7 linked regions of the Xenopus tropicalis genome follow. The protein of the gene in region 7 interacts with the protein of the main gene of each other region in a pairwise test. Links are inferred from orthologs where the notes say so. Each region holds a gene or a part of one and is shown on either strand. Other genes may lie near its edges.

Evidence for each region.
Region 1: the proteins of tfip11 (region 7) and ppp1r18 interact in binary tests that used the Homo sapiens proteins (3 or more experiments, as listed by UniProt). The link is inferred for Xenopus tropicalis from reciprocal best matches to the Homo sapiens genes TFIP11 and PPP1R18.
Region 2: the proteins of tfip11 (region 7) and ccdc68 interact in binary tests that used the Homo sapiens proteins (3 or more experiments, as listed by UniProt). The two-hybrid records come from large-scale screens. The link is inferred for Xenopus tropicalis from reciprocal best matches to the Homo sapiens genes TFIP11 and CCDC68.
Region 3: the proteins of tfip11 (region 7) and gem interact in binary tests that used the Homo sapiens proteins (3 or more experiments, as listed by UniProt). The two-hybrid records come from large-scale screens. The link is inferred for Xenopus tropicalis from reciprocal best matches to the Homo sapiens genes TFIP11 and GEM.
Region 4: the proteins of tfip11 (region 7) and bmf interact in binary tests that used the Homo sapiens proteins (3 or more experiments, as listed by UniProt). The two-hybrid records come from large-scale screens. The link is inferred for Xenopus tropicalis from reciprocal best matches to the Homo sapiens genes TFIP11 and BMF.
Region 5: the proteins of tfip11 (region 7) and ccdc146 interact in binary tests that used the Homo sapiens proteins (3 or more experiments, as listed by UniProt). The two-hybrid records come from large-scale screens. The link is inferred for Xenopus tropicalis from reciprocal best matches to the Homo sapiens genes TFIP11 and CCDC146.
Region 6: the proteins of tfip11 (region 7) and zmat2 interact in binary tests that used the Homo sapiens proteins (3 or more experiments, as listed by UniProt). The two-hybrid records come from large-scale screens. The link is inferred for Xenopus tropicalis from reciprocal best matches to the Homo sapiens genes TFIP11 and ZMAT2.

Annotation. Positions count from the first base shown.
Region 1 is NC_030684.2:75,504,221-75,508,493, reverse strand, and holds part of ppp1r18 (phostensin), read left to right. Parts: intron 1-1,534; coding exon 1,535-1,727; intron 1,728-2,796; coding exon 2,797-2,816; 3' UTR 2,817-4,273.
Region 2 is NC_030677.2:203,243,444-203,247,716, forward strand, and holds the end of ccdc68 (coiled-coil domain-containing protein 68), read left to right. Parts: intron 1-64; coding exon 65-147; intron 148-735; coding exon 736-841; intron 842-2,249; coding exon 2,250-2,333; intron 2,334-2,610; coding exon 2,611-2,684; intron 2,685-3,867; coding exon 3,868-3,946; 3' UTR 3,947-4,166; downstream 4,167-4,273. UniProt on the Homo sapiens protein: Centriolar protein required for centriole subdistal appendage assembly and microtubule anchoring in interphase cells. Together with CCDC120, cooperate with subdistal appendage components ODF2, NIN and CEP170 for hierarchical subdistal appendage assembly.
Region 3 is NC_030682.2:127,873,873-127,877,711, reverse strand, and holds part of gem (GTP-binding protein GEM), read left to right. Parts: intron 1-1,728; coding exon 1,729-1,805; intron 1,806-2,176; coding exon 2,177-2,381; intron 2,382-3,839. UniProt on the Homo sapiens protein: Could be a regulatory protein, possibly participating in receptor-mediated signal transduction at the plasma membrane. Has guanine nucleotide-binding activity but undetectable intrinsic GTPase activity.
Region 4 is NC_030684.2:114,269,015-114,273,916, reverse strand, and holds the start of bmf (bcl-2-modifying factor), read left to right. Parts: upstream 1-1,938; 5' UTR 1,939-2,291; intron 2,292-2,385; exon of another isoform or gene 2,386-2,485; intron 2,486-4,902. UniProt on the Homo sapiens protein: May play a role in apoptosis. Isoform 1 seems to be the main initiator.
Region 5 is NC_030679.2:78,126,992-78,131,264, forward strand, and holds part of ccdc146 (coiled-coil domain-containing protein 146), read left to right. Parts: intron 1-487; coding exon 488-580; intron 581-2,002; coding exon 2,003-2,173; intron 2,174-4,273. UniProt on the Homo sapiens protein: Essential for sperm flagellum biogenesis and male fertility.
Region 6 is NC_030679.2:26,879,997-26,884,269, forward strand, and holds part of zmat2 (zinc finger matrin-type protein 2), read left to right. Parts: intron 1-1,721; coding exon 1,722-1,867; intron 1,868-4,098; coding exon 4,099-4,242; 3' UTR 4,243-4,273. UniProt on the Homo sapiens protein: Involved in pre-mRNA splicing as a component of the spliceosome.
Region 7 is NC_030680.2:15,107,571-15,112,511, reverse strand, and holds the start of tfip11 (tuftelin-interacting protein 11), read right to left. Parts: upstream 3,308-4,941; 5' UTR 3,196-3,307; intron 3,022-3,195; exon of another isoform or gene 2,724-3,021; intron 1,858-2,723; 5' UTR 1,853-1,857; coding exon 1,653-1,852; intron 1,535-1,652; coding exon 1,384-1,534; intron 832-1,383; coding exon 675-831; intron 1-674. UniProt on the Homo sapiens protein: Involved in pre-mRNA splicing, specifically in spliceosome disassembly during late-stage splicing events. Intron turnover seems to proceed through reactions in two lariat-intron associated complexes termed Intron Large (IL) and Intron Small (IS).

The sequences.
Region 1 (4,273 bases), on a different chromosome or scaffold from region 7:
AGGGAAGAAAGACAGACATTACTAAGAACTGTGAAATGCTAAGGAAAAGACAAAGAGAAATAGAAAAAGAGAAGAAAGCACACATATTTAAAGGCAAAAGAAAAAGATCAGAGGTGGAGGAAGGGTAATGGCTGGAGAAAGGGTTGAGATTTAAATAGAAAATGAGATAATGAACTTTGATTAACCACTGAGCAGGGCCAAAAGATACAGTAATGAGATTATGAGCAGTTAAGGAGGGGCTTTGTGACTGGGCACACGTCTCTGTCCCTCTTCCTACTGCTTTATTCCCCCCCCCCTTCCCCTCCGCCGCAAGTTCCCCACATAGCAACACCTCCCCTCCATGTTTCCTTCTTCCCCTCCCTTCTTACTCTTAACCCCCCTTCATTACTGAGATGGCTCAGCTGGCCATCCTGCGCCCAGTCTTTTCAGTGACCCATAATGCCAAAATCTTGTTAAGTGGCAATCCAATTAAGATTAGTAGGTCTTTGGGAATTAACCCATCACTGGTTTCCAAATAATTTCTTTACTATTAAAAGGACTGTAATACAAAATACAGCTTGTTCTTACATAGCTTAACATGTTGCAACAGCCTCTAGCACTAAAACAGATTTTGGCTAGGAATTCCCTGAGTTACAAAAAGTGCCTTGCCTATAAAAGAGATCAAAGACTGCAATAGGTAACTGTTTGGTAATTTCATTAGCACACCTCTTTAAATAAAGATAATGGTTGTTCTGAAGTCCAGATTGGCAACAACAAAGTAAAATAGTGCCTGCCAACCTTGTTTTTAAAGCAGGTACACAGATAGGAACACTTGTGAGAGTAAAGCTGGCCATACACGTGGCGATCTGACGATGTTTCGTACGACCATCGGTCGCACGAAACATCGTCGGATCCGCCACACACCATTCAGGGCTGAATCGGCAGGTAAGGAGGTAGAAACAATAGGATTTCTACCTCCTTCTGCCGATTCAGCTCTGAAGGGAGAATTTTGGTCAGGCGCCTTCTATGGCGCCCGATCAAAATTTTCTAACCTGGCCGATCGGCGAGCCGACCGATTTCAGCAGCTTCCTGCGATATCGGTCGGCTCGCTGACATGCCATACACGCACCGATTATCGTACGAAACGAGGTTTCGTACGATAATATCGGTGCGTGTATGGCCACCTTAACAGCAGAATTTTTAAAGTAGTTCACACTTGTGAGAGTAACAGGTGGTGCAGGAGAATGTGAAGGAAGCCTGGGGTAGGGGGGAGTTGTTCATTTTCCTTTTTAAGACAATTTTCATTAAAAAAAAAAAAAAGTAAAACTATGTATCAGTTAGTGTCCCTCTAGGCCCACCTTACCCCCTGGGCCCTCTAGCAACTGCAGGGTTTGCTTCCTCTATGTACATTCCTAATACATAAAATATAAAACACAACAGGTATGTCAGAGTATGTGGAACCATGCTCCTTCGGGGACTTCAATGGCAAAAAATGTTTTTTGTTGAAACTTTTTTACCTACATTCTATTTTTTTTTTTTTTTTTTTTTTTTACAGTTAAATATCTCTTTCCCTGACTCTGAACTGGAGAGCACATTTGAGTATCCCTCAGAGAGCTCCCTCTTAGCTGAATTTGGACCCCCAGATGAACCAGAGGCCATTGCAACACCAGTTCCTCAAACTGAAGATGATGAAGAAGAGGACAGTGTCTTATTAGGGGGTATCTTGAGAAGAAAAGCCCTTATAGTCGGTAAGCTGGAAAAAAATAAATCACTTTTTCCTTTCTTATATGCTCCCCTCTCTAAACTGACATTGTTACTTGCCCTTCCCAGACATCCTTCTAGAGATGCTATTATACAGTAGAACCTCCATTTTACTTTTTTCAAAGAACAAGGGAAAATGTAAACTAGGGAAATGCTTTATGCATTATATACTGGTGTAAAATAGGGAAAACTTAAAATTGGGGTATGTAAAATTGAGGTTTCACTGTATTTCTTTCTAATTATCCCTTTTATGTTTTAAGCAAGTTCATAGTTTCATAGGGTTGAAAAAACAGTCCATCAAGTTCAACCCTTCCAAGTAAACCTAGCACACATAAACTTTTACTGACCTATATATACACTCACATACATAAACCATATATACCAACATCAATACTAAGGGGTATATTTATCATGCTGTGTAAAAAGTGGAGTAAAACATCACCGGTGATGTTGCTTAGAGCAGCCAATCAGATGCTTTGATTTGATTTTCTAACTGTTGAAATCTAATTGTGGATTGGTTGCCCTGGGCAACATCACCGGTAACACTTCACTCCACTTTTTACACAGCATGATAAATATACCCGTTACTGTAGATTTTAGTATCACAATAGCCTTGTATACTATGCTTGTTGAAGAACTCATCCAGGCCCCTCTTAAAGGCATTAACAGAATATGCCATTACAACATCACTAAGAAGGGCATTCCCCAACCTCACTGCCCTCATTGTAAAAAAAAACACACTGCTTCAAATGAAAGTCTGCCTCTGGTGCATTGATCGTTTTTAAAAAAAGAGCATCCCCTATCTGCCTATAATCCCCTCTAATGTACTTGTACAGAGTAATCATGTCCCCTCGCAAGCACCTTTTGTCCCAAGAAAACAACCCCAACCTTGACAGTCATGTATTTGTAATTCCTCATCTATTGCTAAAATACAGCACCCAGAAACTCTGTATTGTAGTTTCAAATGGGCTTGAGAGCTACATATAAGTTGTTGTTTTACAAGCCATGCACATATATGTTGCTTAATTTTTTTCCTGCTTTATTTTTGCATTTCAGACGAGTCCTGCAAACGTTGAGGGAATTTCAAGAATAATTTTGGGAAAAGAGCACAAGAAACCTGTGGAATTTCCATTTCTACAAAGAGGGCATTGTAAAACAAGAGAACCTGCCCCCCATGGCTTAGTTTACCAGTGGTTCTACAAAGGTTTACTGAATACAAAGGACTGTACAGCCAAACAACCAAAAGCACCTGGAAGAATTGTTATGTTAAACATCTGACCAGAAAAACAAACTTTTGAAATTGAATTATGGTGACTAGCAATGACCTACTGGAAATTACAATAAGACAAATATTGTTCACCACTGCAGTATTAAAGATTACCAAATGAACTAGTACTGCTCACTAAAGCAATCTTTATAAATGACCCTCATTAGAGCAATAAGGCCACACAAATGAGGAAAGTACATTAATCCCCTCATTTTTATGTTAAACATAAGTGAGCTGCTCAGTCATATCTTTGCCAATACATTTCTGCGCTAATACATATTCCTCATATTGTCACTGATGCGTTTGTTTTCCATCGGTTAGATTACACCAGAAGATGGTTAGTAACAGTAATTTTAAAAGACCACACACATACAGTTGAGTCAGAAATTGTATGTAATGTACAGTGTACAGTACTGTGTTGCCAGTAGTAACTTGGTTGTAATTTTTTTTAAAGGAGATCTAAACCAAAAAATTAAACACTTTGTTAAAACTTATCCAGAGTGAGCATTTTAGCAATTTAAATACATTCTGTATTTTTATTGGTTCCTGTGAAATTAGCAGTTTTATACTCTTTATACTATACTAGCAGCTCTCTCAAGACCATAATTATTAAAGTGTGTAAGCCAACATTACAACTGCCAGTAGCAACCAATCAGTTACTAGATTTGAACGGTCACCTACAAGTTAGAAAACAAAAGCAAAGATCTGATTGGTTGCTATGGGCAACATCACTGGTGATGTTTACACACTATAATAAATATGCCCTTTGAGTGTCAGCAACCTTAATTGTATTCAGTTATACAGCTCAGTCCCTCAGTTGAGCCAAAAGCCAGGTATTAGTAGTCTAAAAATGCAAATATCTCAGAAATCACTAAAAATAGAAAATAAACAAAAGCTCTCAGAGAAGCACCCTGAGTAAGTTTCCATCAGTTATTTTTATGGGGTTTTGTTCCCCTTTTTACACCCAAAACTAGCATTCCTTCTTTTTACACACCAGAACTAGTAATATACACAATACAATGCGATCAATAGTTTTTAAAAGTTTTTTATTTTTGATTGCCCAACACTGAACAAGTTTCTAACAAGCTGTTTTGGCACTGTTAAAAATGGTACCAGTTAGATTTATAAATGTATTCTTGCTTTGTGGATTGTAGAATAATTCAGTAAAAAGGGATACCCACTAATTTAAAGGGGTAGTTTGCCATCCAAACATTTCTTTACCAGTTTAATTGATTTTTTTTTAATTGCTTTTCAGTGTTTGGACAG
Region 2 (4,273 bases), on a different chromosome or scaffold from region 7:
CCTAGTGTTGGTATATATCAATAATCTTTGGATTCATTTCTCTTTTTTATCTCTTTGTAACAAGGAAAAGTCGATATTACTTGAGAAGAAGCGGCTGCTAGAGAAGGAGATTTCTCAAAGAATGTCAGACCCGTCTTATAAAAATGGGTAAGTCCATTCCTGACATCAAAAAAGGACAAATCTAAGGTTAACATTGACTAATGTAGAGTTCTACCTCCAGATAGGAAGCTCTGCTGCATTTACCCATATGACACCATTAAATTCCATGTGTAGGTTTGAGCCCATCCCCTCTGCATTTTACTGGTGGAAAGCTTCCTCTCCCTGACACGGCCAGTAACATTTAATAGTATTTTTAATTGGCTGAACCCCTACTGACACTGGGAGCCCTCTTCTACATCTATCCACCCCCTCCTACACACCTCCAAAAAGCAGATCTCGATCGGGCAGGTTAGAAAATCTAGTCGGATCGGGGACTGCATCAGGCCTAAATTCCCCCGATATCGCCCACCCGTAGGTGGGGATATCGGGAGAAGATCCGCTCGCTTGGTGTATGGGCACCTTAATTCTACAACAAGAATCAAACTCTCTTATATGAACTATTATCAACATCTATGATTAAACCCCATCTGGAGGGCCACATAGGTGCATCCCCCAATAAATTTAATTTCTAGCACTGTACAGTTTTATAGACAGGGGAATAATCTATTTTCTTCCCGCATACAATGAACCATCAAGCTGTGGAAACACTCGGATAGAGATAGCCACTGTTGAAGAGCAAATCAACCACTTGCAGCAGCTCATGATGTCCCAACACCAGTTCCTTCACGCTTTGATACAGGAGGTGAGATGAAAGTTGGTTTGTAACATATAAAACGTTATTAAATCGAAACAGAGAAACTATCAGAGCTCAAGAAGAATCCATCCACTTTCTAGTGGTATTTTTAGAAGCATAATTATCTATGGGTAAAAGTTCACCCATAAAAGTGAATGATAAGAAAGTGGGTGGATTTTTCTGTAGTGAACTCTGATCTTCCATTTTGAGATATCTGCCCCTAAATGTTACCTTTGTCTTAAAAGAAACTAATAATTGCATCTGTATCAACAGAGCAGGGAAGATCTGGCTTTCCTTGGTTTTATTGCTCATGATTTGTCTAGTTGTGTGATGGTTCTGTATGACTTCCTAAAGCTACTGGGATTCTGCTAATCACATTACAGAGAGTCAGGAAAAATAACCGTCCTGGTTATCTGAAGACCTTACTCCTCTTGAGAAGATCTCAGTAGCTTTATGAGAAGACCTTACTCCACTTGAGAAGATCTCAGTAGCTTTATGAGAAGACCTTACTCCACTTGAGAAGATCTCAGTAGCTTTATGAGAAGACCTTGCTCCACTTGAGAAGATCTCAGTAGCTTTATGAGAAGACCTTACTCTACTTGAGAAGATCTCAGTATCTTACTCCACTATATGAGTACTGTGAGAAAAGAAAGATGGTGGAAGGGAACTGGATCTTAACTTGAAGGCCAGTTAGAGTAAAATTTGGGGAAAATACTCCTGGAAGCTTAGCAAGTCAAATAGAGTGGAATTTGGGGTATATTTTGTAGAAACTATGGGCAATTAGCCACAGTTTTCTACAATCTTCTCCAACTATATAATAGTTGAAATTGACACGGTTCAAACATTGTGTTTTTCACCTTACCAGAATACTTATTCTTAATTGTTATTTTACCAAGGGTAAAGGGTTTTTATGTGTTTCATTTATGGTGAGGAGCCAATAAGGTGGTGATTTATCAACATTTGAATTTTTTTTCCATTAGTCGAAGTTTTTTTTGCTCTAAAACTCCCAATATTTATCTGTACTTGAATTAATATCCAAGTGCAAAAAAAAAAACTTCGGCATCTAAAAGCTTGCGAGTTTCTGTAGAAGTCAATGGGAGTTGTCCTAGGCAAAATCAAACCCTATTTCCAATTCAAGATATAAATAAGCCCATAATAGTAGGCAGACATCAAATTACTACATGCAGCACAATTCAAAAATGTTCTAGAAAGGCCCATGCATGGGCAGTAAATACCCATTGTGATGGCTTTGGGAATTTTTGTGAAGCTGATCCACTGTATCTCATACCTTCTAGAAGTGAAGGAGCCAGCACAGGAGGCTTGGGATGATACTGTAAAATAACAAAAACAATAATTCCAGGAATCTCAAGTTCCTTCATAATTGGCGTTGAGCTAATGGTTTCTTTGTAAACCACAGAGTGAAGACTTAAAAAATCGACTTAAAGAGCAAGACGTAACAATCGGGGATCTAAGGGAGAAGATCAGCTTGCTGGAAAGTCAGGTAATGAACCTTCTTAGTAAAAAATCAACTATTTTATGTGCTGGGTCAGTTAATTGATAGGATAATGACAGCAGGGCATCTACTGCTCTATGACTGGCCTAGAAACTGGCTGTTATGGTTTCACCTGGGCAAGCAGCCAAGGTTAATATGGGCAAGCTCTAAACGACTGTATATCAAACCCTTATCTCAATTGCGCAAGTGATTGGTACATTTGGTGGTTTCCCACCTGGGCTTTTGTACCAATAATCTGAATTTATGCACCTTCTTTCACCTACAGAATAAAGAACTGAAGAACAACGTGGAGCACTGGTCTCATGACAAGACAAAGGTGTCAAAAGGGACATTTGTAAAGTAAGGAACCTGCAGTATGTTGGTTGTTAATCTTGGAAAAGCTTGTGCCCTGATTGGCTGAACGGCTTATATAGGAAGCTAAAATCATTCATCGGCTTGCACACTATTTGTATATGTCCTCGTCTATGCGGCTCCATCTGTCCTCATAGTGCAGGTCAAGTGCAGGTAAGAAGACTGATTGCTTAGACAATCAGTTGCAGGGGCAGTCGGAACATCCTTCCACCAATAAAGCAAGACGTAACAGTTGGACAACTTTCCACCATTGCACTTGAGATTAAAATACCGCAAATTTACAGAGAAGCAGAAATTGTTAGACTTTGCATCAAAGCTTTACTTTTTACCTCCGTTTCCATTTTACTCACCATTTAGGCAACCCTAACGCTAACAGTGATGTGCAGGTCAACAAAAAGTCGACTAGCACCCACCCCTAACCCACCTGCTCCCAACCCAAACTCATTCCGACCCAGCAAGGCCCCTCTATTTATAGACCCGCACTTGACCCATCCATCTCTGATGTTACAAAAGGGGGTGGGGCATGCCTATAAATAGAGGCTGCCAGGGGCAGAAGCCAGTCGCGGGTGTGGTGGGCGGAATTAAGAACTCAACCCGCCTGCAACCTGGAAGTCTTGTGTGGAAGTTGGCCTGAACCTGCCTGACCTGTGGGTTTTGTGTAGGGATGCACCGAACCCAAGCATATGCTGATTAGGATCGGAAGGGGTTAAAAAAAATGTTTCACTGCCCATTTAACCCTTTCAGAATGCTAATTAGCATATACTAATTTGCTGGGACCGCAGATCCGGCCGAAACCAAATCCTTAAAAAAACTCCGGGATTCTCCCGAATGCCGAACCGAATCCGAGATTTGGTGCATTCCTAGTTTTGTGCCAGACTGCACTTCACTACTGTCGGACCCCCCTGGTGCTTACTAACACATGCACAGTAGAGTAATAATGGCAAGCTGGGGAATGTACCCCTGTGTTCTGTTGGTTATTACCCCGAGACCAGCCCAGGGAACAAACTTACCAAGTGGATTCAGTGGGGGTGCCTAACTTACTGGTAGCCCCCCAAATGAATCCTTCTTGTTTAATTATTTACTGTATAGACCATTTATATGGACCTTTGATTTGGAAAGAAGACCATTCCTTTTTCTTATCAACAAATGATCAAGTGCTTTTGACTTGCAGGGAGTCCATGTTCGACGCCAAGTCCCCTTACTCCAGGCTTTTACATTTACGGACCAGATATGTCACCGAGAAGAGCTGATCAACGCTAAGTGGGACCTTCCGTCCATCAAAGGTACATTCTGGACTTATCACAAGAAGAGCGAGAAAGGACGTCACACCTTACCCAACAGTGTTTGGACTCATTACTACCCATTGCTCATTCACTTGCCTGCCCGACTCTGAAACTGAGGGGGATTTTTACTTTTGTGAGCACATGATTGAAACAATTGGACCTTTCAGATTGCCAGAATGACTAGACTTGAGAGATTGTGCTGAAGATGTACGAACGTCAATGAGGAGGGCAAGAAGCCTCTTCAGAGCTTTACTGCTCGTTACTCTACTCTACACCGGACAAACATTGCACTTA
Region 3 (3,839 bases), on a different chromosome or scaffold from region 7:
AAGCCCTGCAGTGTCAGGTGTCCTCCATTATCTTATATGATGTCTACATGCAATTAGTGCTACAACAGGAGCACAGGAGTGATAGCCTGCTTGAATGAGGTAGCTGAACTGGAATACTGGATTTGGAAAGTTTTTGTTATATGGTCTAAACAGTCTGGTCTCTAGACTCCAGTTTGGATTCGGTCTTTCCAAATCCTATAGACTTTGTTAATTTAGAGCTTGAAAACAACCAGAATTTTTATGGAAATCCAGTAACTGAAGGGCTGCTGACTAAGACTAAGACACATGTTACTTTAGGCCCCTTGGGAATAACCCCTATTGGGGTACCTAAACAATAGCTCTGAGTATAGTCCTTTGTAGGTAGCGTTCTATGTATGCAAAAGTAAGTGCAATCCTTCCAAGTCAATTTGTCATATTTACCTAAGGGATACAAAGCTCTATGTATGGTCGTTGTGCATGGGGAAAGTTCGCAGACAGATTGAGGCAGGCAGCGATGTGGAGCTGGGGGCAAGAGCATGAGATTCCTCTGACAGCAGAGAAATTAACTGTGTTTTCTCTCAGAGGTGAAGTCACTTTTTCCATTACCGTGCAATCTGGAGTTTATCCACTGAAGGCAGCCGTGCAAAAAAGTGTTTTTATTATGTTCAGTAGAAACTATATGGGAAACAATATTTAGCAGAGTTACCTTCTGGCAAATCACGGTTTGTTGGATCGGAGTTCCAAGTATCTAAAGAGACATTAGACTTTATATAGTCAATGAAGTACCCTCTATGGTAAAATATAAGGATGTTATAAGTCACCAAAGAGTTCAATGACCATATATTGTGGCTTCTAATGTCCCCATATTTTAAAACAGGGATCACATTATTTATTATAATACACACGTTTCAGTGAGTCATGTGACAGAAATTACATCACAAATCAACATTTATATAGGATATAATTTACATATATTCACTGCTCTTGTGTATTAAATTACTGTATATACTCTAGTATAAGCCGATCCGAATATAAGCCGACGTACCTAATTTTACCTAAGAAAACTGGAAAAACTTATTGACTCGAGTATAAGCCTAGGGTGGGAAATGCAGCAGCTACTGCTAAGTTTTAACAATCAAAATAAATACCAATAAAATGACATTAATTGAGGCATCAGTGGGGTATATGTTTTTCAATATTTGTTTAAAAGAAAAACAGTAAACTAGCTCTGTAAGTGGAGAAAAGGGTCAACAAAAACAATATGAGTACTACCCCACGCTCATTGCACATTGGCAAACTGGCAGCAGACCCAGTCCCGGAGGAGATGTAAGGGGAAATAAGTATTGCTAGTGGGAGCCTAGGCCAGGGCACTGGAGGGTCTGGTTGCGGGAGGCCTAATTTGCACACAAAGGAGAGAGAGTGCTAGCCTAGAGGGACCCATGGCACCCGACTCGAGTATAAGCCGAGGGTGACTTTTTCGGCACATTTTGGGTGCTGAAAAACTAGGCTTATACTTGAGTATATACAGTATATATGATGTGTGGTAGTAACACAGGACCATAAGCAATGGGCCTAAAAGTGGACTGCAAGTTAAATACATGAGGCCCAATATCTGAAGGGCTGACAAATACAGAGAAATAGCAGATTCTTTATTTTGTTTCCAATGCCTTAATAACAGGTCCATCTCAAACTTTGCCCTAGTTACACAGTAAATCAAAATATATAAATTAATTTCCTTTTCTCTTTAAGAAAACACTTATGAAAGAAACTTGATGGTGGACGGAGAAAGCGCAACTCTGATTCTAATCGATATGTGGGAAAATAAGGTACGTTACACTGTATGTATTGCCTCTCTTCCCTGTCATGGGGGCTGCTGTCCTGCACTTTTTGTTTAGGGTATATAGAGGGTTTTTGTCTAGGGTATATATCTACTTCTCTCCTGCACTGTCTACTAGGGATGTCTACTAGGGATGTCTACTAGGGATGTCTACTAGGGATGCACCAAAAAAATATGGTCATGGAATCCCTTGGTGACTTCTAATATACCTATATTTTACAATATGGGGCACACTGTTCTCTGTATATTAGAGTCAAAGATATAGCTATACATACTAATATCCTTCCTTAAAGATATTTTGCTAGTGGTTTATGGTTCCACCCATAAATTGCAACTACAATTTGTGTGTTTTGTTGCCAGGCTCAAGACAACTGGATCCGTGAGCAGTGCATGCAGGTTGGAGATGCCTACCTTATTGTCTACTCCATCACTGACAGAGCAAGCTTTGAGAAAGCCTCTGAGCTGCGCATACAACTCCGTCGGGCGCGGCAGACAGAGGACATCCCCATTATACTTGTGGGCAATAAAAGCGACCTTGTCCGTTGCCGAGAGGTCTCTGTCTCAGGTAAGTGCAACACACATTTAAATGCTTCCTACTAAGCAAACCCACTGGCATAAGCTACAAATGTCATACAATTAAAAGCCAAATTCCATTTTTTGTTCATGTCTGAAAAAGAAAAGAAAGATTTTGCGTGCTGACATTGTATCAGTTCATGATTTCTTTCCCCAGCTTTTAGTTGGATAATGAATTCCATGTACCACATAAGCCATAAAGGCGCAATCAGTTGCTATGATCTGTGGCTCATTTATCTTGGTTGCTATATGCATAGCAATCATTTTATTGCTTTGTGAAAACTTTGGACTTTTGCTATGAGAAGCTGCAGTGAATCTGTGGTGTTTTCCAAGTCCAAAAATGTGACAAAGCTGTAATGGGTCATTGTTATGTTTTTATCCTTACTGCCTCCCACTCCTCTTAGAATCAGAGGGCATACACACACCAATCCTGTATGGTATCTGTGAGACAAATACTGTAACAGGGGCTGTAAACAATATAGCCACCTTTCAGTTGTCTGGGGCCAAAGAAATGATGGAAACAGCAGAAAGTAAAGATCTACAGTTCCTCTTCACTTCATCTGCCAAGGCACCATGTCTTGGCCATTTTCAAACCTGCCCAATCAACAAACCAGCCAATATCCATAGTACAGAGATGCTGGTTGGGATCACTGAGCCACTATACATGTACCACAAATTTTATCTTAACTTTTAGCTTGAATTCAGAGATGATATTTTTATATTTACAAGTACAGTTCCGGATTTATATAGTTGGCACCCCTAGGCCCCCGTCACTACTCGTTGTGCCCACCACCCTCCCCTTCTTGCATGAGTATGTGTAAATTTTCCTTGTTGGGTATGGAGCATTGGCCATCGTTGAGCAGGGGAGTTAAAAACTATCAAGTCCAGTGGTGGGCCTAATGACTGCCTAATGACTGTTGTGCCCTAGGCAAGCCCAATGACAGGGCAAGTTAGCTTTCCCCAACTCTCGCGAGAACTCTCCCGCTCCCTAAGCCGCCAGCCTCCGGAGGAATAGAAGAGCCAAATTAGGACTAAATAGGCAGAGAAGGTATGTGATCTCTGCCCCCCAGTGTTGTGCCCTAGGCACCTGCCTTCCCTGCCTACCCCTAGTTCTGTCTCCTGCACATCCCCAGTGCTTCAACCCCAATTTAGATGCAGTTGGGTGGTGTTCTGCCCCCTAAAGTCCTGCCACCTTATATCTGGGCCTTTGTGCCCTTGCCACAAGTAGTGTAACTACCATACAGCTGACCCAACATGAAAGGGGGGGCCTAGGTTCCACCTCCCACCCTTGTTCCTGCCTGTGATGCTATGGGGGCCAACTCAATCAGTTCCCACTCTCATGACTGACTCTTCTTACTGGTTTAACATCCCATATCAAGAAAAAAGCAACAATCATAGACATAAACACCCATGAAAAAGCTCAAGCAAGCTCAAGGTCAAGAAAGGTTAA
Region 4 (4,902 bases), on a different chromosome or scaffold from region 7:
GAAGGTATGATAATAAAAATTTGTTGTTGTAAAAGCTATTTACTGTTCTCCACAATCTCGGTTTTAAAGGGCCACTATACAGAATTGTGTTTTTTTAACAGTAACATTTATTTAAGAAACAAGGTTATGCAACACCTATATTGCCTAGGTTTCCACTCTTTAAAATGAAACTTAGCATCTGGGGGGTGACATGAGTGGGACGGGTGATGGTGTCAGTAGGCGAAGATATGATGCATTTGGGTGGAATAGCAACATAAGCAGACAATGGGTAAGTATTGGGGCGGATCAGGGATTAAAGGAATACTAATACATTTCTAGGATATTGTCAGCATTACTTAATGGTTGTGCGATAAAAATCTGTTTTCTGTACCTATGGAGTATTACAGAAACATGTCATTGTTCCTTTAAATGGGTGGGTCAGGGGCAGAAAAGGGGGGTATTACAAATTTATCAGCAACTGCATTGCCAGAAATGTGGTAATACTGGCCCCAGCTGTGATAGGGTGTTTGCTGGCTCGCCCAATAAAATTCTGTCCGGGTGGCAAACCTACATCACCCATGTGAAAAAGTAATTACCCCCTTATACATAATAACTGGCCGCTCCACCGTAAGCTGCAATAATTGCAAAATGATTCATTTGATGTCAGTCTGTCACATTGTTGCTGAGTCATTTAGCCCACTCTTCTTTGTAGAACTGCTTTAATTCACACATTGGAGGCCATTTATAATGTTTGTAATTTTTTTCTACAATTCATTTTTTGGAACTAAAATTAAACAAAAGTGATTTTTCACCATGTATTATGCATCAAAACCATGAAAAGCGTGAATGCAAAAATACTCCATCTAAAGGCTGTCGCAGTCATGTAGAAGTCAGTTTGGTGCTGTCCAAGGCAATATTTATGCGGCCCTTTTACTTCGAGGTATTTGAGTTTTACATATTTTTTGGGGGGAGCTACTTGTGCTATTTAAGTTATGTAAAATTCACAATTAGGGGTTTTTGCTTTTATTTTTAAATTCATTTATGCTTTTCTCATTTATGAGTTTAGTGGTGGTAGAAAAAATCTCTAAGGGAGAGGTGTATGAGATATGTGCTTTTCTCAGCCCTGCGGATCCGCTTCATTAAAGACTTCAGTCTTAAAAACTATGGCAACTGCCCAAGTGTGGGCACACAGAGCGGAGTAGATCGAAGGTTGGCCTAAAAAATGCGAAATCGGGCATTTTCCAGGCCAACCTCCACTCCGCTGAGGTCCACAGGGGAGTGTACGGAAGAGGATCCACTTCTCTCAGCCTGGCTGAAAAACATAGGGCTAAAGGTCCCCGATACACAGGCCGATTAGCTGCCGAATCGTTCTAAAGGACATCTGTATGGTGTATTGGGGACCTTAAGAAAAGCGTATATGTTTTATGTGACCTCGCCCTTAAACTACACAAACTCTGATTTTGATAAATCTGCCTCATTAAGTCCATAAAGATGGACTTTTTCTAATAGGTTGGGAATTTTGTCATGGAAAAGGGAGGCCGCTATCAGTGAGAACTGACTAATACAACATACCTAGCCAGGCCAGGAATAGGATCCAAAATAGGTCCTGGCATTTCAAGTACACAGAGGCCCAACATCTCCCCACCAGGCCAATAACTAGTGACTGACTGTGGCATCTTACAGCAGCCCCTCTGGCATTTGCCGCCCAAAACCCACAGAGTGACGGGGGGGGGGCATCACTGGCATGCATAGTACAAATACCCAAATGCTACACAGCTACAAAGGGACTGATAAAGAGCTGAGGGGCCCCCACAAAGCTCCTATGGTGAGTAGATTATAGGCAAGCTGGAATCAGTCAGAGCTCACAGTGTTTATATTAGGAAGGGCGTGTGTACATTACAGCACATCCCCGGGCTCAGTATGGGGATACATGGTTATGGTGCAGGTAATACTGTTTGGCTTATGGCAAGTAGTTGGTAGTGAGTACAGTAAAACAAAGTTGGTAACAGAAGCCATATCACGGCCCAAAGAATGGACGCCAGGTTAACTCTTCCTGGCTTAGTGTGTTGAAGTGATTGTATTCCGAGCAGTGAATTGTATTCCGAGTGTGAATCGACCGAGAAAAGGGCAGCGGGGATACGGGACACAGGGGATGTGAAGCAATCATTGCTCCGCCTGCCAATCACAGCCGGTCCCTCCCCAGCCGCTCTCAAACACACTCACAGAGAGACTTCACGCAATGAGCTTGCCGCTACCCTGCAGGTGAGAGGACACACGGCACCCTGCCTGCCTGCCCGGATCCCCCGCCAAAAGTAAGTGATCAGCGGGGCTGTACACCTGTCTGGGGACTGCAGTGGTCTCTTCCACTGAGGCGTGCAGATGTTATGTATGGGTCTGTAGGAACGCAGCCGGGTCAAACCATTCTGCCAGCCGGGGTGCCCTGTGTGAGCGCTGGGTGCAGTGATGCAGTAAGGGGATGATGCGCTGCTGCTTATAGAGCACTTGGGTGACATTACTTTCCTGCTTACATTTTGGTTTGATTGTTATCTGTAAGGGCAGAAACTTTAGTGTAAAAAAGAATTTGCACTAGTGCTATTGAACAAGTTCATTGCTACGAACGGGCGATATCAGATTGTAGCTTAGTATTTATAGAGTTAAACCCGCCCGTGTTCCTGATGAGCTCAGCTTCCTGGCGTGTGTGAGTTGCAGTTTAACAACTGCAGAAATGGACTTACTATGCAGTTTAAAACTTATCCTAAAGTCACAAGTGACTTTTGATGGTATTTTATGGCTCATAAAGGGAGAGTAGGTACTAGCAGATTGGTGAGCTATCAGTCCTGTGGATGTTGCTGAACTACATCTTACACTTTTTTACCAGCTGGCAAAGGCTACTGCTGGATGCTAAGAGCTGTATCTCAATTAAACATCTGTAGGAGCTTTTCCTGCCTGTTGGAGAGAATACTGTGCAGGGTGTTTAGTATTTATCCTGCTGCCCAGGTTATGACTGCCCCCTGCTTTATAGAGGGGTTCACTTCAGTCCTCAGTCCTCTTCCATACTTGTCTGTTAGAGTGGGAACAAAACATATGAGTAATAAGACAACTGCCTGGAGATCTGAGAGGCTGCTGTTATGTTTGGTGCCAGGAGAGAATGACCCTGTTCCAGAAGGTTGAGTCAGGATAAGCTGGCAGCGGAGGTCAGGCGTTGGGTAGCTGCTGCCAGATGTACACGGCACATCTGTTTTTGTGTGGCGCTGATGGACACTTGAGCTCAGCAGGATCCAGCTGGGATTAAATGACTTGGAGTTTGCAGAGAGAATCCAGAGTGACAATGAAAGGAAAAGCCTTGAGGCTCTTTAGCCATTTTATAGCAGCACCTCTGCAATTAGAGACAACTGCAAGAGCCAAGCAGAGAGAAACAGTCGCACTCATCACTTTGTTTTATATCAGATATGAAAATGCTAAGATCCAGCTGAAAGCCTAGCGGTGTGTTACTTTAATTCCTCTTCCTCCACTTTCACTCCATTTGTTTGCATCCCTGCTTGTGTGCACGTGCTTGTGTATGAGTGTGTGTCGCCATCGGTTCCTTATCTGTTTATTGCAGTGATCCCCAACCAGTGGCTCATGAACAACATGTTGCTCCCCAACCCCTCGGATGTTGCTCTCAGTGCCCCCAAACCAGGTAGTTATTTTTGAATTCCTGACTTGGGGGCAAGTTTTGGTTGAATAAAAACAAGATTTCCTACCAAATAAAGCCCCTGTAAGCTGATAAGGGTGCATAGAGGCTCCCTAATAGCCAATCTTAGCCCTTATTTGGCACCTCCATGAACTTTTATGGTGCTTTTGTTGCTCTCCAAGTCTTTTTACATTTGTCTGTGGCTCACAAGTAAAAAAGGCTGGGGACCCCTGGTTTATAGCATATGAAAAGGCAACCACAATAACCCATTTCTCCTCTACAGCTGATGAAAATTCCCCCCTTTTCCTACTGGGAAGAAAGAGCCTCTTGTATTTATACAGAAACCTATACTTCTAATATCTTTCTTTTTTACCCAAGTCCAATATGTCAAAAATATAGTTATAGTAGATGATAAAAAAAAATCTCAAAAGTACTGGACCTTAATACAAGGTTGAATTTGATTTGTCTTTATTTTAACCTCAGCTACTATGTACTTAAGAACAAGAGGCCCACTAGGTAGAAACTGAATTGCGGGCACGGCCTATAAATCCTATTATCCTAAGTCTGAAACTTTTTATTGCAATAGGAAACAGTAGGCATCATGGAGCCATTCAGCTTCTGTTGCACTACAATTCCCAGAACCTTCCAATCGCCACCCCTAGGGCCACTGCTTGGCCATTGTTTCTTGTAATTGTAGTTCAGCGAAAGTACATGGCTCCTCTTGGCTGAGTGGTGCCCTTTCCGGTTACGCAATCCATTGTGTCTGGGGCTTTCTCGCGTGTGTGCCACAGTGGGATACCTCTGCTGAGACCAATTTGCACTAATGGCGGTGGCACACACATGAACTGCAGGGCTTCTTAGGTCAGATGTGGTGGAAAATATCCAGACGTGCCCAATTGTTTTTTTATTGTGTGCTTGTTCCTGCTTCACTAGGAGCCGCTGTCAGCTGCTTGTAATACCGTCAGCTTCATCGCCTGCACTGCTCTCTTTCCAAACATGACTCAGCGCTCGCACACACTTGGCCTTTGGCAGCCACTGCCTCACGTGTTGCTGTCAGGAACCTTCCCCTCTGATAAACAAACTACCTCTTTTGTGATGTTGTTCCGGGAACAGCACAGTCAAAGTGTAGCCGGGAAATACATTTGTAAAATGTGTCCCCAAACTTCCCCACCCCTTTAAAAAAAGAAAACATTTCTTTATTCCCAATTGTCATGTCCCTGTGTCAGTCTGTGGCCCACCAGGTGTTCAGT
Region 5 (4,273 bases), on a different chromosome or scaffold from region 7:
TTTGTCTCCACAAGGATGGCCACCCCCACAGTATTTCTAGTGTTTTTAAAGGGTATTTTCTTTTATTATTTCCTTTTAAAGCAAAACACTTTCTGTTCTGCTGTGTGGATTTGTCCTTGGCTGCAATCATAAGCAAAACTGAAAATAGTACTGTGGCAAGAAATGCAGTGTACAGAACAAATAAAGTGTGCCCTCTCCTGGAAAATTAAAAAGGTCTGCTCATTAGCTGAATAAGTACGTTTCAGATATGGATACAAATACACATGAAAATCTCGAAGCTAAATGAAAGGGGGCCAAAATAGCCCTTATTGTGTTCCTGTGGTTGCTAGTGGGAGGTCTATTTAAGCACTCTGATAAATGTACAAGGTATTTTAGATTACTACAGCAGTATCCACTGTGACAGCCTTTATAACCTAATATGCATAGTGAAGTGGCAAACAAGCTGATTTTAGATAAATCGCCCCACATTTTCTTATTTGCACTTTAGGTTGACTGTTTTCCTAAAGCTGATGCACTGCTTGAGAAGAGAAAAGAGCTACGAAAGGAAGTAGAAGTAATAAGAAGACAGTTTGCACAACAGGTCGGTTTCCTTCCTTCTTTCAAATTCACTGTTCTGTTGACATCCTCAGTAGCTGTCCCCTATGAACATTCTGTTAGATTACCAGAATACAACCCTTTGCTTTACCTTCTGCTGTGCCTGCTTTGTTTGCAGGAATTCATTATGCAGGGGCATTTTCTCAAGTCCTATTCATTAATCTCAGGTTAACTATACTATACTGCCCTTTTAATACCCAGTTGGAGTTGCAGGGTTAGTGTTCAATGGAAAATGCACAGCACAATGTGTCCAAAGGAAAATAAAAGCACTCTTTAAGTGCTTAAATGTTTTTGTTTTTTTTTAATTTCCACCAACAGAGTCAGAAAACGTTACTGCATTGTAACTACACTTACTATACTTAGCCAACTTTTCATGGCTCATTCTTGAAGTTATCAGGTAATTCTCAATAACTATCTAGCCCTACTCCACTCTACTAAAGTTACTATATTTTAATGAAAAGATGGAGCAGACTTTACCATGGTGGGCCTAATGACGGTATTGGCTCAGGCAGGTCCATTTATTGACTCTGCCCCCAGGTCACAGGCAGAGGCAGGGCTTGATAGTTCTCTGAACTCTCACCTTCCCTAAGCTGACAGCCTCCAGAGGTACAGAAGGGCTAAAACTAGGGGTAAATAGGCAGAAAAGGCATGTGCTCTGCACCCCATTACTGTTGTGCCCTAGGCAAATGCCTCTTCTGCCTACTCCTAGTTCTGGCCCTGGACTTAACTGGACTTTGACTTGAGAAAGGGCTCTGCCCGAAACATGTAGTGTGCTGACACTGCCATTAAATTCACTGCATTTTTCAAATGCTGCTTGGAGCTGTTTGATTCCTTTTTGGCTTTCGATCTTATGATATACTGTTGGGGTGGCTCACAGACACCTGGAATCAGCAGCCGTATACTTCTGATTATTTGTGCTGAACTATAACCCAATCATTTTTTATTAAAAATGTATAAACTTTTTAAAAAGGTTTACAGTATTTATATGAAAAAGTGTTTGCAAATGGATACACTGATGCACACTGATACACCAGAACATGTTATGCAGAATATTTTAATGTTTGAAGTGCATTATCTGACCTCTAATATTTGAAATGAAAGAGCCTTGCTAATAAATTAATAAATGGATTATTACAAAAATGATTTGCTTGCATACTCACTTAAAGGTTTAATTCTGATGTTTCAGTCTTGATGACCACACAATAAACCTCAGTGGGCATAGCTTGCATTCACAACAGACATGGAACACCTCATTTGAAGCATAAGTAAAATAATATCTCTGCCATCTAGTTATACTGGGAGCTCTTCCATGAGAAGCCATAACAAGAAGTTATAGAATAAAACACATATAGCTACATGAACAAGATGTTTGCTGTCGCTAATCATTCTTATTTATTTTACAACTCAGCAAACTCTGACTGAGGCAGAAGCCCATACACTTGAGCAGTGCATTGCAGAAGAAGAGCAGCTTGTGAAGGAGCAAAGTGAACGCAGGGAAGATCTGGTCAATCTAACGCGTTTAGTTCAAATTAAAGCTGAGGAGAGAGAGCAGAAATCACGGGATTTGATCAAAGCAAAGGTGACTACTATTCCAAATTATTTATATGCAGAATAACTTGTTTAGCCTAAATATAGCTTTTACTTCACAAATCAATCTAAAGAGATTAAAGGGGTAGTTTACCCTTAAAATAACTTTTAGTAATATGTAGAGCATTGATATTCTTGGACAACTTCCTATTGGTCTTCATTTTTATTTTTAGTGATTTTTCAGTTATTTCGCTTTTTGTTTTCCAGTTTGGTATTTCAGCGGCTATATGGTTGCTAGGCAGTAGTTGGAATGAAAGACTGGCATCTGAACAGGAGGAATAAATAATAAAAAGTAACAATAAAAATACAGCTGTAGTCTCACAAAGCAATGCTGTTTTGGCTGCTGATTCAGTGACCCTCATTTGATGCAGCATCAAAGTTGCTAGGAACAGGACATTCTATAGCATACAACATGTTAATTACCCCTTTAAATAAGTGGCAAAATGATTTACTTGTTTTTGACAGTAAATGTTATTTTATTGAAATAAATGGCAATCTGAGCAAAGCCAACAAGGGGAAAAATAAGAACTGCCATATGAAACATGCAGAGTCCCTAAACAGCAGGCCTGGACTAGATTCAAAATAGGCCCTGGCATTTAAAGTGCACGGAGTCAAACAGCCCCCCAGCAGCCCACTAAATAGTGACTGTCTTTGGCTATAAAGCTATAGAGCCAAGTCTATTAACAGAGAGTTAGTATTATATATATATATATATATATACATACCTACATATATATACATATATATATACAGTAGTAAAAATAAAAGTGTTATAAGTTTTAAGTCTGTAAAAAAAGTTTTGCAATTGCTAAAAATATCAAATTCCAAGGAATGTAGGTTTCGTAGCCTATTCATAAATCATTACAACACATTTCTGGAAATGACTCGAGAATGTGCTGCACATGCATATTAAAACAATTAGAGCTGTTAGGGTGTTTTTGGCCTGTTTCCCAATAATGGAAACATATATTGTGGAAGTGGTTACTCTTCTTTGTCGGTTGTCACAATTTCTCAAACGTTGCATGATCTGTTACGCACATATATTTTTCACTATTGTCAAATACCCAGGAGATACATAGTTTACATTTCTGTATTCTCATGAATAATGTAAAATGCTATTGTTTTCCTTTGTAGGAATGCTGGATTACAAGAATACATCTCCAAATGCTTGTAGTTAAAGGCCATATTGGTCATGTGTTTAGTATGCATATAGTGAAGCACTGTATCCTGGCTACCTGATATAGCTATATTTCCAGCTTATGTAGCTAGGAGCCATGATGCTTGGGTCTTTGGTCTGGAAACTGACACCTCATTTTCAGTCAGTCACAGTATGAATAATATAACTAGCTTCAGGGTTAGACTGTGCTGATGGCCCAGACCCGAGCTCCATCCAGCTGCTGTTCTCTCCCCCCCCAGTGCACACAAAAGTAACTATACTGCATATGCGCTCGGGGGAAAGGGTTGGGTGGGCAGCGGGGGGTGCAGGGGCCCCTGGGGTGTATCACATGTACACTGGACTGTATCACATGTCAATGGGTATTCAAAACTTGTCACTTTGTTCAACCTACAGTAGTTCTATCATGAATACTTTGACTAAAACATATTTTTAAAACATTTTGTAAAAGGAGACATTTTTTAAGCAATTTACTGTATTGGGTAAAGTCCTACCAAAAGGTGGACGTCTCCTTTAAAAACTGACCTATGAGAATTTAGACTGAAGCAGAACTTATACTATACAAAAAATACATGTGACGTTTTTGGGACTCTCGTCCCTTTCTCAAACATGATATATACTGCCTAATCGACTCTTCTTATACCCATAAGTCCCTTTGTTCCTGTTTGCAGCACCAGCTACCTGCTTCATCTTAAAGACACATGGCTAAACACAATTGTACAAGTATTACACAAAGACATATATAAAGACATATAATTATATAAAGACATATAAATCATAATCACGATTCATCCCCCGGGCTCTAATGTATGAATCCAAAATACGTCAGATTTTTTCAAATGTAATTCTCTATTACCTCCACGCCTAAGTACTGGGATCGATTCTATCACAGCGTATCGGAATTGAGAGGTGCTATGT
Region 6 (4,273 bases), on a different chromosome or scaffold from region 7:
ATCAGTGTGTTTTGAACAAAAATGAATCCGCAAATAATGTATATCCTAATATATGACATGGTTTTTACATATCAATAGATCTTACATTTATTTTGCAGGAATTCATAATACCTCCATAAACTAAAAGTTTAGCCATTATTTCAGGTTAGGTTGTACTCTATACCTCCATAAAATATAGCCGCAGTCTTCTTTAGAGCCCGTTATTAAGCGTGGGTGTAGAGGTGGATCTATATATAAAAAAATTTTGTTGAGGAAGGTAATTGCTCAGTAAATCACAATTTTGAAAACTGCTGAATCCCCGGCATGTGTTAGTGTTACGCATGTAATTAACTGCTGATTGTTAAGCGGTGACGTACGTACAAGGAAAAGAGACATTTTGACATTTTGCTTTGAAGGCTATATATTTAAACAAATGTGATGCTCTTTATCAGTGAGAACAGGCGCTGGTGACTCCTCGCTAATCAATTAGCTTTCATTTGAGTGCATTCTCTTTAGTTAGTTGTAAAGTTTTAGCTGCATTGAATAACTGACAGTAAAGGCTTTACTGTGTAATAAAGGGAACGTGCTATGATGAATTATTCTACACTTCTGCACCAGACACAATAGAAGTAGCAGGTAGCAGGAGTCCTTAAACCTAGTCTTTATATCAAATAGGTTTCCAACATTCAGGGCCTGTTTTGGCTAATGCCGATTGTTGCTGATATGAAGTGTTAAGGTTCTGTTGTGTCTGCTACCCATTTCTGGCACAATTTAACTGGCCACATCCCCTATTAAGTCATTGCACCTACTCTGCAGTTGGGCAATGTCCCCATCTCATTTCCCATAATGGGAATCTAAACACAATAGGAGCCCTGTGAGCTTGTGGCCAGTTGCTGCATAGCTAACGATACAAGCTAGAACAGTAACTTCTTTGGAGATGCTTGCGGGAATAAAGCAGACTGCAGTCATCTAAAGCTGGCCATACACGCACTGATAATTTTGTACAAAACCTCGTTTTGTACGGTATTCGGTGCGTGTATGGCAAGTTTGGGAGGCGACAGATATTGCAGAAGGCTACTGATATCGGTCGACTTGTCGATCGGGTGGGTTAAAAGATTTTGATCGGGGGCCATTGAAGGCGCCTGAGCAAAATCTGCCTTTTTAGGCTGAATCGACAGAAGGAGGTAGAAATCCTATTGTTTCTACCTCCAAATCTGACGATTCAGCCCTGAATGACCAATGGTTGCACGAAAGATCGAAAATCGCCAGCTTAACCGTTTCTGTCCCATTTAATCTTGCCATTCAGTGTGATGCCAGTAAGCATGAACCCAGAACAATAGATTCTATGTTACTGTTATGATGGCCCTTTTTTGCTGCCACTGTAGGTTCTGTGATATGTTGCATATGGAAGGGGAGTGTAATCCAGGATCGTGCACAGAAAATGAATAGATAATATAGAATGTGTGGAAAAGGACTGGTTGGTTTGTTTCGTTCTGGTTCTTGGTGTAATGCTGTGCCTTTTGTGGTAGGAGAGAACAGGGCATAACGATGGCTGCTTATAGAACCGTGTATAGTGCAATGTATCCTACTGGCCTGCAGCACTGGAAACTGTACAGGCCAGTGCAAACCCGCAGTGCTGTTCTTCACATAGAGATATGTTTCTAGTCTATATTAAATAATACCAATAAAAAAACTTGTAAATGGCAGTTCTTACTTTAATTTGAAAATGATCTTTATATCAGATCAAAGGAACTTGGGAATGTCAATGAGAGTAGAGCGGTCAACACTCGATCAAGTCAAGAAGAGATTTGAAGTTAATAAGAAGAAAATGGAAGAAAAGCAAAAGGACTACGACTTTGAAGAGCGAATGAAAGAGCTTCGGGAAGAGGTATGACTCTTTAGCCTGGAATTCCAGAAGCAGGTCTTAATTAGAAGCATCAGAGCGCAGATGCAATCAGTGACACTGAGAGTAAAGAAGCCCTTGTGCTGCTGGCCTAATCCTCTTACAGTATTCTGCAGGCAACAAAAATGGGTGCTCTTTACACACCCAGTGCTCTATGTAAAATGAAGATTGCATTTTCAACTATTTTCATGTTGGACTTTTCTAATTTTTAAAGGAGACATATTGCATCATACTCATTTTTTGGTAATATATTCCCCTTTCTCTAAAATGTATAGTGCTTCTATAAAAGAAGGTTTTAAAAACATTTTACCTGTTAAAAATGTAATTATACTAAAGCTGCAGAGAGATCCTTTCTCCTCTGCTGTCTAAGCTGAAATGAGGACTGGGCGTGTCCTCTCATGCTGCCTCAGGAAGTGATCATACTTCTGAGTGACAGTCAGAAAGTCCTGCCCCTGTATTAGTTTTGCTTCACTGACCGTTAGGACGGGCCTTTTTTTCAATGAGAATAACACGAAAGCATGAAAGTTGGATGGCACTCCAGCTGGTAAATAATAACTTTCTTTATAGGAAAGAGGTTTATTCATGGGGGCCTGCTGGAGGGCCCTTTATATCACAGCTGATGGCAATAAATTGTGCATAAAACTCCCTGCAAACTATTAACCTTTTTTTTTTACATAAATAAAGGAAGTTTGTCCTCCTGCCTGCATCCCCCTCAGCTGATTGTGTCCTCCTTTCCCTGACAGCCGTTTTGTCCTTCTCCCCCCCCCCAGAGTCTTTCTGTTTTGCTTCCCCCCGAGAGCCTCCTTCTCCTCCCCCCCCCCCCCCCCGAGAGCCACCCTGTCTGCTTCCCCTGAGAGCCGTTCGTAACTTTTGACAGCTGCCCCTGCGCTTCTTATAAGGGACGTTCGGCTCTGTGCTTCTTTATCTGAAAGGAGCACAGAGCCGAACGTTCCTTATAAGAAGCGCAGGGGCAGCTGTCAAAAGTTACGAACGGCTCTCAGGGGAAGCAGACAGGGTGGCTCTCACGGGGGAGAAGGGTGGAACGGCTCGCAGGGTGGAGGGGGGGGAAGGATGGAATGTCTCTCAGGGGGGAGCAGGGTACGGCACAGCGGTGGGCAGGTAGCTGGCAGGTGGCTGATTAACGGTGCAGATCTATGTGCAAGTACGTGGTGATTGCAAACGGCCAAACTGACGTCACTAGAAGCACCTCCCTCCCTTCACAGTCAAAGCCCTCAGTAATGAAGCTGTGAGAGCCGGCGGCTCTTTAGCAAACTATACAGAGTCTTAAACCGGAAGTCCAGGATAGGAGCATAACAAGAGCAGTTTTTGGCCAATTTCATGAAATTTCACTTGAAATGTACCCAAAAAAAGCCAATTCCTTCTATTTTACATTAAAAAACATCCATTAAAGCACTCTGAAAAATGATGGTATATGTCCCCTTTAAATATACTTCAATACATAATAAGACAAACTTCCCTTTTAAATGAGTACTTTCACTCAGGGCAGGTTTCAAGGCAGAGCAGGATGGACATTTATCTTGCCTATTGGTCACCCAAAATGAATGTAGATAGAAGTACAAAGGGGAAGTTTTATTGTTAAAGCTAACATTATTCAAAGTGTATTCACCCCTGCCATAGAAATGCATGTGGGCACCTATATGGATTGCTGGCTCTTTACAGGGGTGGTTCATCTTTAAGGTATCTCCTAGTAACTTTGCAATTGAGCGTCAATTATTTTTTTTTTCACATGGTTTTAATTATTTGCTTTTCTCTTCTGCCTCTTTTCAGCTTTCAAATGGCAGTCACTGACCCCATCAGCTTAAAAACTATTCCTCTGTGAGGCTACAGTTTTAGTGTTACTGTTTCTTACTTATCTTCCTAGTCAGGCCCTGTCCTAATAATATTCTAGTCTTTTATTTAAAACAGTGCCTGGTTGCTAGGAAAGATAAACCCTAGCAACCAAATAGCTGCTGAAATTTCAACATGGAGAGCTGTTAAGTAAACGTTTACTTAAATAACCAAATAAAACATAAAAAATTAAAAATGAAGACCAGTTGCAAATTGTCTCAGAATATCACTGTCTACGTTATACTAAAAGTTGATGAAAAGATGACCCTACCCCTTTAAATGTTCATGTTCAATTACTTGCCATACTATAGAGCAATGCTGTGCTGCAATTGATCTTTAATTTTGAACTATTCTCGTGGCTCCTTTAGGAAGAAAAAGCACGAGCGTACAAAAAAGAGAAACAGCGGGAGAAAAAACGTAAAGCAGAAGAAGACCTTGGATTTGAAGAGGACGATGAAATGGCTGCTGTCATGGGTTTCTCAGGCTTTGGGTCATCAAAAAAGGGTCACTAGTTCTGCAGAACCATGTGGGCAGCTTTTTTTT
Region 7 (4,941 bases):
CTACTTCATGTTCAGAAAGTGACCAGCAGGTGGAGCTGTGGTAACAAAATGCATTCTTATTAAAGTGATACTGACATGAAAAAATGACTTTTCAAATTATGAATCTACATAAAAAGTTACCTATAGGTCATGTTGATCTTTTTTCACTGTTAGGGCTGGTTTTGTATGTAATTGTTACTTGAAGTTCCTAAACCTGACTGTTTTGCCAACCTGACTGTCCCTTCTCAGCCTGTCAGTTATAGCTTCTAATGCTAACGGCCTCCTGCTGCACAAATATGGCAGCCCCCTCACAGAAGAACATGGGGGATCAGATAAGGAATGTAAAAGCATCAGCAAATACTTTTATGGCAAAATTATAAAGCTCATGCAAAGACAATGTTATGATTGATGTAAAAAAGGTTTCATTTCTGGTGTCAGTAACTCTTTAACAATACTTTATCCCTTAATATCTTGGCATTAAAAAAATAATTATGAATGTAAATTGCAAATGTTCATCAACTTATTTTGAAGTTTTCTTATCCTTTAAAGAATATCCTGGCTATAAAATACATTTTTCTCACATACTTACAGTCAGATTATAATAAAAGCTACTATTGCACGTTTCCATCTGAGAATAGCCCCTGCCTCAGTAGAGCTTCTAATTTAACCTCACTGGCCAAAGAACCCAGTTATACCTTGAGCATTCTTTCCCAGGCCTCTTCCTTGCACATAACCCATCTTCTGAAGAAGTTTCTGGCCGATTCCCTTGGTATGCCGCTCCCAAGAACCAAAATCTGTGTTTGACTTTATTCCTCCAGCAAATGTCCTCTGTGATGGTTTGAAATTACCACCCTGTAAAATACACAAACTGAAACTGACTGAAGCTTTGGAATGAAACAATGAATATAGTGTGTCTTTCTTACAATAATAGTTCTCTCTCTTATAAATGGATGGTTCGTCCTTAAGTTAATTTTAAGTAGGTTATAGAAGAGCAAGTTCGTAGCAACTTTTCAATTGGTCCTCATTTTTTTTAAAGAGGGTCACTGACCCCGGCAGCAAGAAACTATTGCTCTGTGAGGCTACAATTACGCTGTTATTACTTTTTTTTTTTTTTTTTTAAACTTATCTTTCTATTCAGACCCACTCCTGCTATTATTCCAGTCTCTCATTTGAACCACTGACTGGTTGCTAGGTTATGTTGGTTCATAGCAACCATATAACTGTTAGAATTCCAAACTGGAAAAGTGCTGAATATAAAGCTAAATAATAATAAAAAAAAAAAGAAGACCAACTGCAAATTGTTTTAGAATAGCAACCAAAAGTTGGTTTAAAGAAGAACACCCCTTTTAACCCTGTCAGACTATTACTATTGGGAAGTACAAACACTCCTTAGACTCATCCTACCGTCCTTAGCTTCTTTGCCTCAAAATCCTTTGGGAAAGTTTCCCTCCTTGCTTGCGTTTCACTGTCGGAATCGCTATCAGATTTTTCTTCTGCAGCAGGCTTACGGATCCCAGCGCTGATAAAATTGACAGGGGCCGAGTAGTCTCGAGACCTATGAAGAAATAAAATGAAAGGTGTCCGTATTGGGTGGTGCTGTATCATTAACTGCACGCAAGAAGGTGACTATTACTATTGAGTGACCCCTCCTACCAATCTAAAGACCCACCAACCTTTTCCCCCCAAAGCTTGGCCTCTCATCATCAGAGTCCCGCTCTGCCCACATCCCATAGGTCGCCTCCTCTTTTGTTTGGAAATGCTTTCTGCGGTTGGGGTTAAACTCATTCTGTAGGTCCCAGTCCGTGATCTCAAAGTTCTCCATTTCCACTCCATCGCTGTCCTCATCTTTGCCATAAAGGTGCGACATAGACATGGTGCCTGAGAGAGGGAAACAATATTTAACAATATATAAGTTGTTGTGTTTTATAGAATGGCCAATTCTAAGCAACTTTTCAATTGGTCTGCATTATTTATTTGTTATAGTTTATTAAATATTTGCCTTCTCCTTCCAACTTTTTAGGGCTCTGGCACACGGGGAGATTAGTCGCCCGCGACAAAACTCCCTGTTCGCGGGCGACTAATCTCCCCGAGTCACCGGTGGGATGGCACACGCGGCAGCACGATTTCGGGAAATCGACGAAAAAGCCTTGCGAGGCAACTTCAGTGATTTCCCGAAATCGCGCCGCTGCGTGTGCCATCCCACCGGCGACTTACATTGTCGCCGGTGGGATGGCAACTGGCGGCAACTCGGGGAGATTAGTCGCCCGCGAACAGGGAGTTTTGTTGCGGGCGACTAATCTCCCTGTGTGCCAGAGCCCTTAAATGGGGGTCAGTGACCCTGGCAGCCAGAAATCTATCGCTCTGTGAGGCTACAGTTTTATTGTTACTTTTTGTAACTTTAATTTTCTATTAAGGCCTTCTCCTATTCATATACCAGTCTCTTGTCCAAACCACTCCCTGGCTGCTAAAGTAACTTGGCCCTAGCAACCAAATAGCTGGTGAAACTCCAAACTGGAGAACTTCTGAACTGAAAATAAAATAACTAAAACACTACAAATAAAAAAATGAAGACCAATTGCAAATTGTCTCAGAATATCACTCTCTACATCAAACTAAAAGATAACTCAAAGGTGCCCAACCCCTTTATGGCTATACAGGGTTGTGCCTTGGGGCCCCCCAAAACATTCCATGTCCTTTTCCTTGGATTTAGGTAAAAAAAAAAAAAGACAAGTGATAGAAATAACCTTGAACAGTATATGTCCAGTCGGCTGCGTTCCCCCTCCTGATTGGCCAGAATGGCTCAGTAGCCACAGCCAACCAGAGAAGTACTACTACTTACAGTGACCCATAAGGGGTTAAAGAGGGCCATGCTGAAGTGAGTGATGGGAGAGGAATGGGGCATGGAGTGAGTAAATGGCATGCTATGGAACTGGATGCATTACCCAGATACAATGCAGCAATCAATGTAACAGCATTTAGTAAGGGACAATAATCACAGGTCAGGATTTAAACTACAACTCCCATAATCCCCTCAAACAGTTATGGGGAAGAAACTAATAGCGCAGCCATTGACACCAGACAGGTACACATGGCCATTCCGCTCCTGTGCGGGAACCAGACACCCCGTATTCACTGAGCAGCCCCGGCTTAGTTATACCAAACACAAACAAGTGGGGCTAAATGCTAAAATAAGCTTCCATGAGGCGTCATAGTTACCGATATTCCAGTTCCAGGTACCTGAGCCCCGGGTTCCACAGGCTGCAGTAATGTACGCGGCACACTTCCGGTCACGCCTACACAATGACGCGTACGGGACGCGACACCGGAAGTAGGGTTCTACAAGCGTGGGGTTGTGTCAGAATCAGACTGGCAGGATTGGAATAGGGGCTACGGGCTAGGGGCTTGGTTGCTAGGGGCTTGGTTGCTAGGGGCTTGGTTGCTAGGGGCTAGTTTAATATGCAAGCAAGTGGGGTTCTGCAAGCTTGGGGTTGTGTAATAATCAGACGGGCAGGATTGGAATGCTAGGTGCTTGGTTACTAGGGGCTAGGGGGTTTGGTTACTAGGGGCTAGGGGCTTGGTTACTAGGGGCTAGGGGCTTGGTTACTAGGGGCTAGGGGCTTGGTTACTGGGGGCTTGGTTGCTAGGGGCTTGGTTACTAGGGGCTAGTTTAATAAGCAAGCAAGTGGGGTTCCGTAAGCTTGGGGTTGTGTAATAATCAGACGGGCAGGATTGGAATGCTAGGGGCTAGGTGCTTGGTTACTAGGGGCTAGGGGCTTGGTTACTAGGGGCTTGGTTACTAGGGGCTAGTTAAATAAGCAAGCAAGTGGGGTTCTGCAAGCTTGGGGTTGTGTAATAATCAGACGGGCAGGATTGGAATGCTAGGGGCTTGGTTACTAGGGGCTAGGGGGCTTGGTTACTAGGGGCTTGGTTGCTAGGGGCTTGGTTACTAGGGGCTTGGTTACTAGGGGCTTGGTTACTAGGGGCTAGTTTAATAAGCAAGCAAGTGGGGTTCTGCAAGCTTGGGGTTGTGTAATAATCAGACGGGCAGGATTGGAATGCTAGGGGCTAGGTGCTTGGTTACTAGGGGCTAGGGGGTTTGGTTACTAGGGGCTTGGTTACTGGGGGCTTGGTTACTAGGGGCTAATTTAATAAGCAAGCAAGTGGGGTTCTGCAAGCTTGGGGTTGTGTAATAATCAGACGGGCAGGATTGGAATGCTAGGGGCTAGGTGCTTGGTTACTAGGGGCTAGGGGGTTTGGTTACTAGGGGCTTGGTTACTAGGGGCTTGGTTACTGGGGGCTTGGTTACTAGGGGCTAGTTTAATAAGCAAGCAAGTGGGGTTCTGCAAGCTTGGGGTTGTGTAATAATCAGACGGGCAGGATTGGAATGCTAGGGGCTAGGTGCTTGGTTACTAGGGGCTAGGGGGTTTGGTTACTAGGGGCTAGGGGGGTTGGTTACTAGGGGCTAGGGACTTGGTTGCTAGGGGCTTGGTTACTAGGGGCTAGTTTAATAAGCAAGCAAGTGGGGTTCTGCAAGCTTGGGGTTGTGTAATAATCAGACGGGCAGGATTGGAATGCTAGGGGCTAGGGGCTTGGTTACTAGGGGCTAGGGGCTTGGTTACTAGGGGCTAGTTTAATATGCAAGCAAGTGGGGTTCTGCAAGCTTGGGGTTGTGTAATAATCAGATGGGCAGGATTGGAATGCTAGGGGCTTGGTTACTAGGGGCTTGGTTACTAGGGGCTAGTTTAATATGCAAGCAAGTGGAAAGAAGCGATGGGCAGGGATTGTTTTCCCACGCAGAGTGGCGAATCTGTGCCCCTAAGGGCAGTGCCAGGCTCACAGTGTGTGGGGATCTGAATCACTTAATGTAGTTTGTTAATAGCGAAACAATTGAATTAATTTCTTTAATTGGTTGTTTTCCTTTGTTAACTATCGGTATGTTACAGAACAGCTTTTCCTATTGGT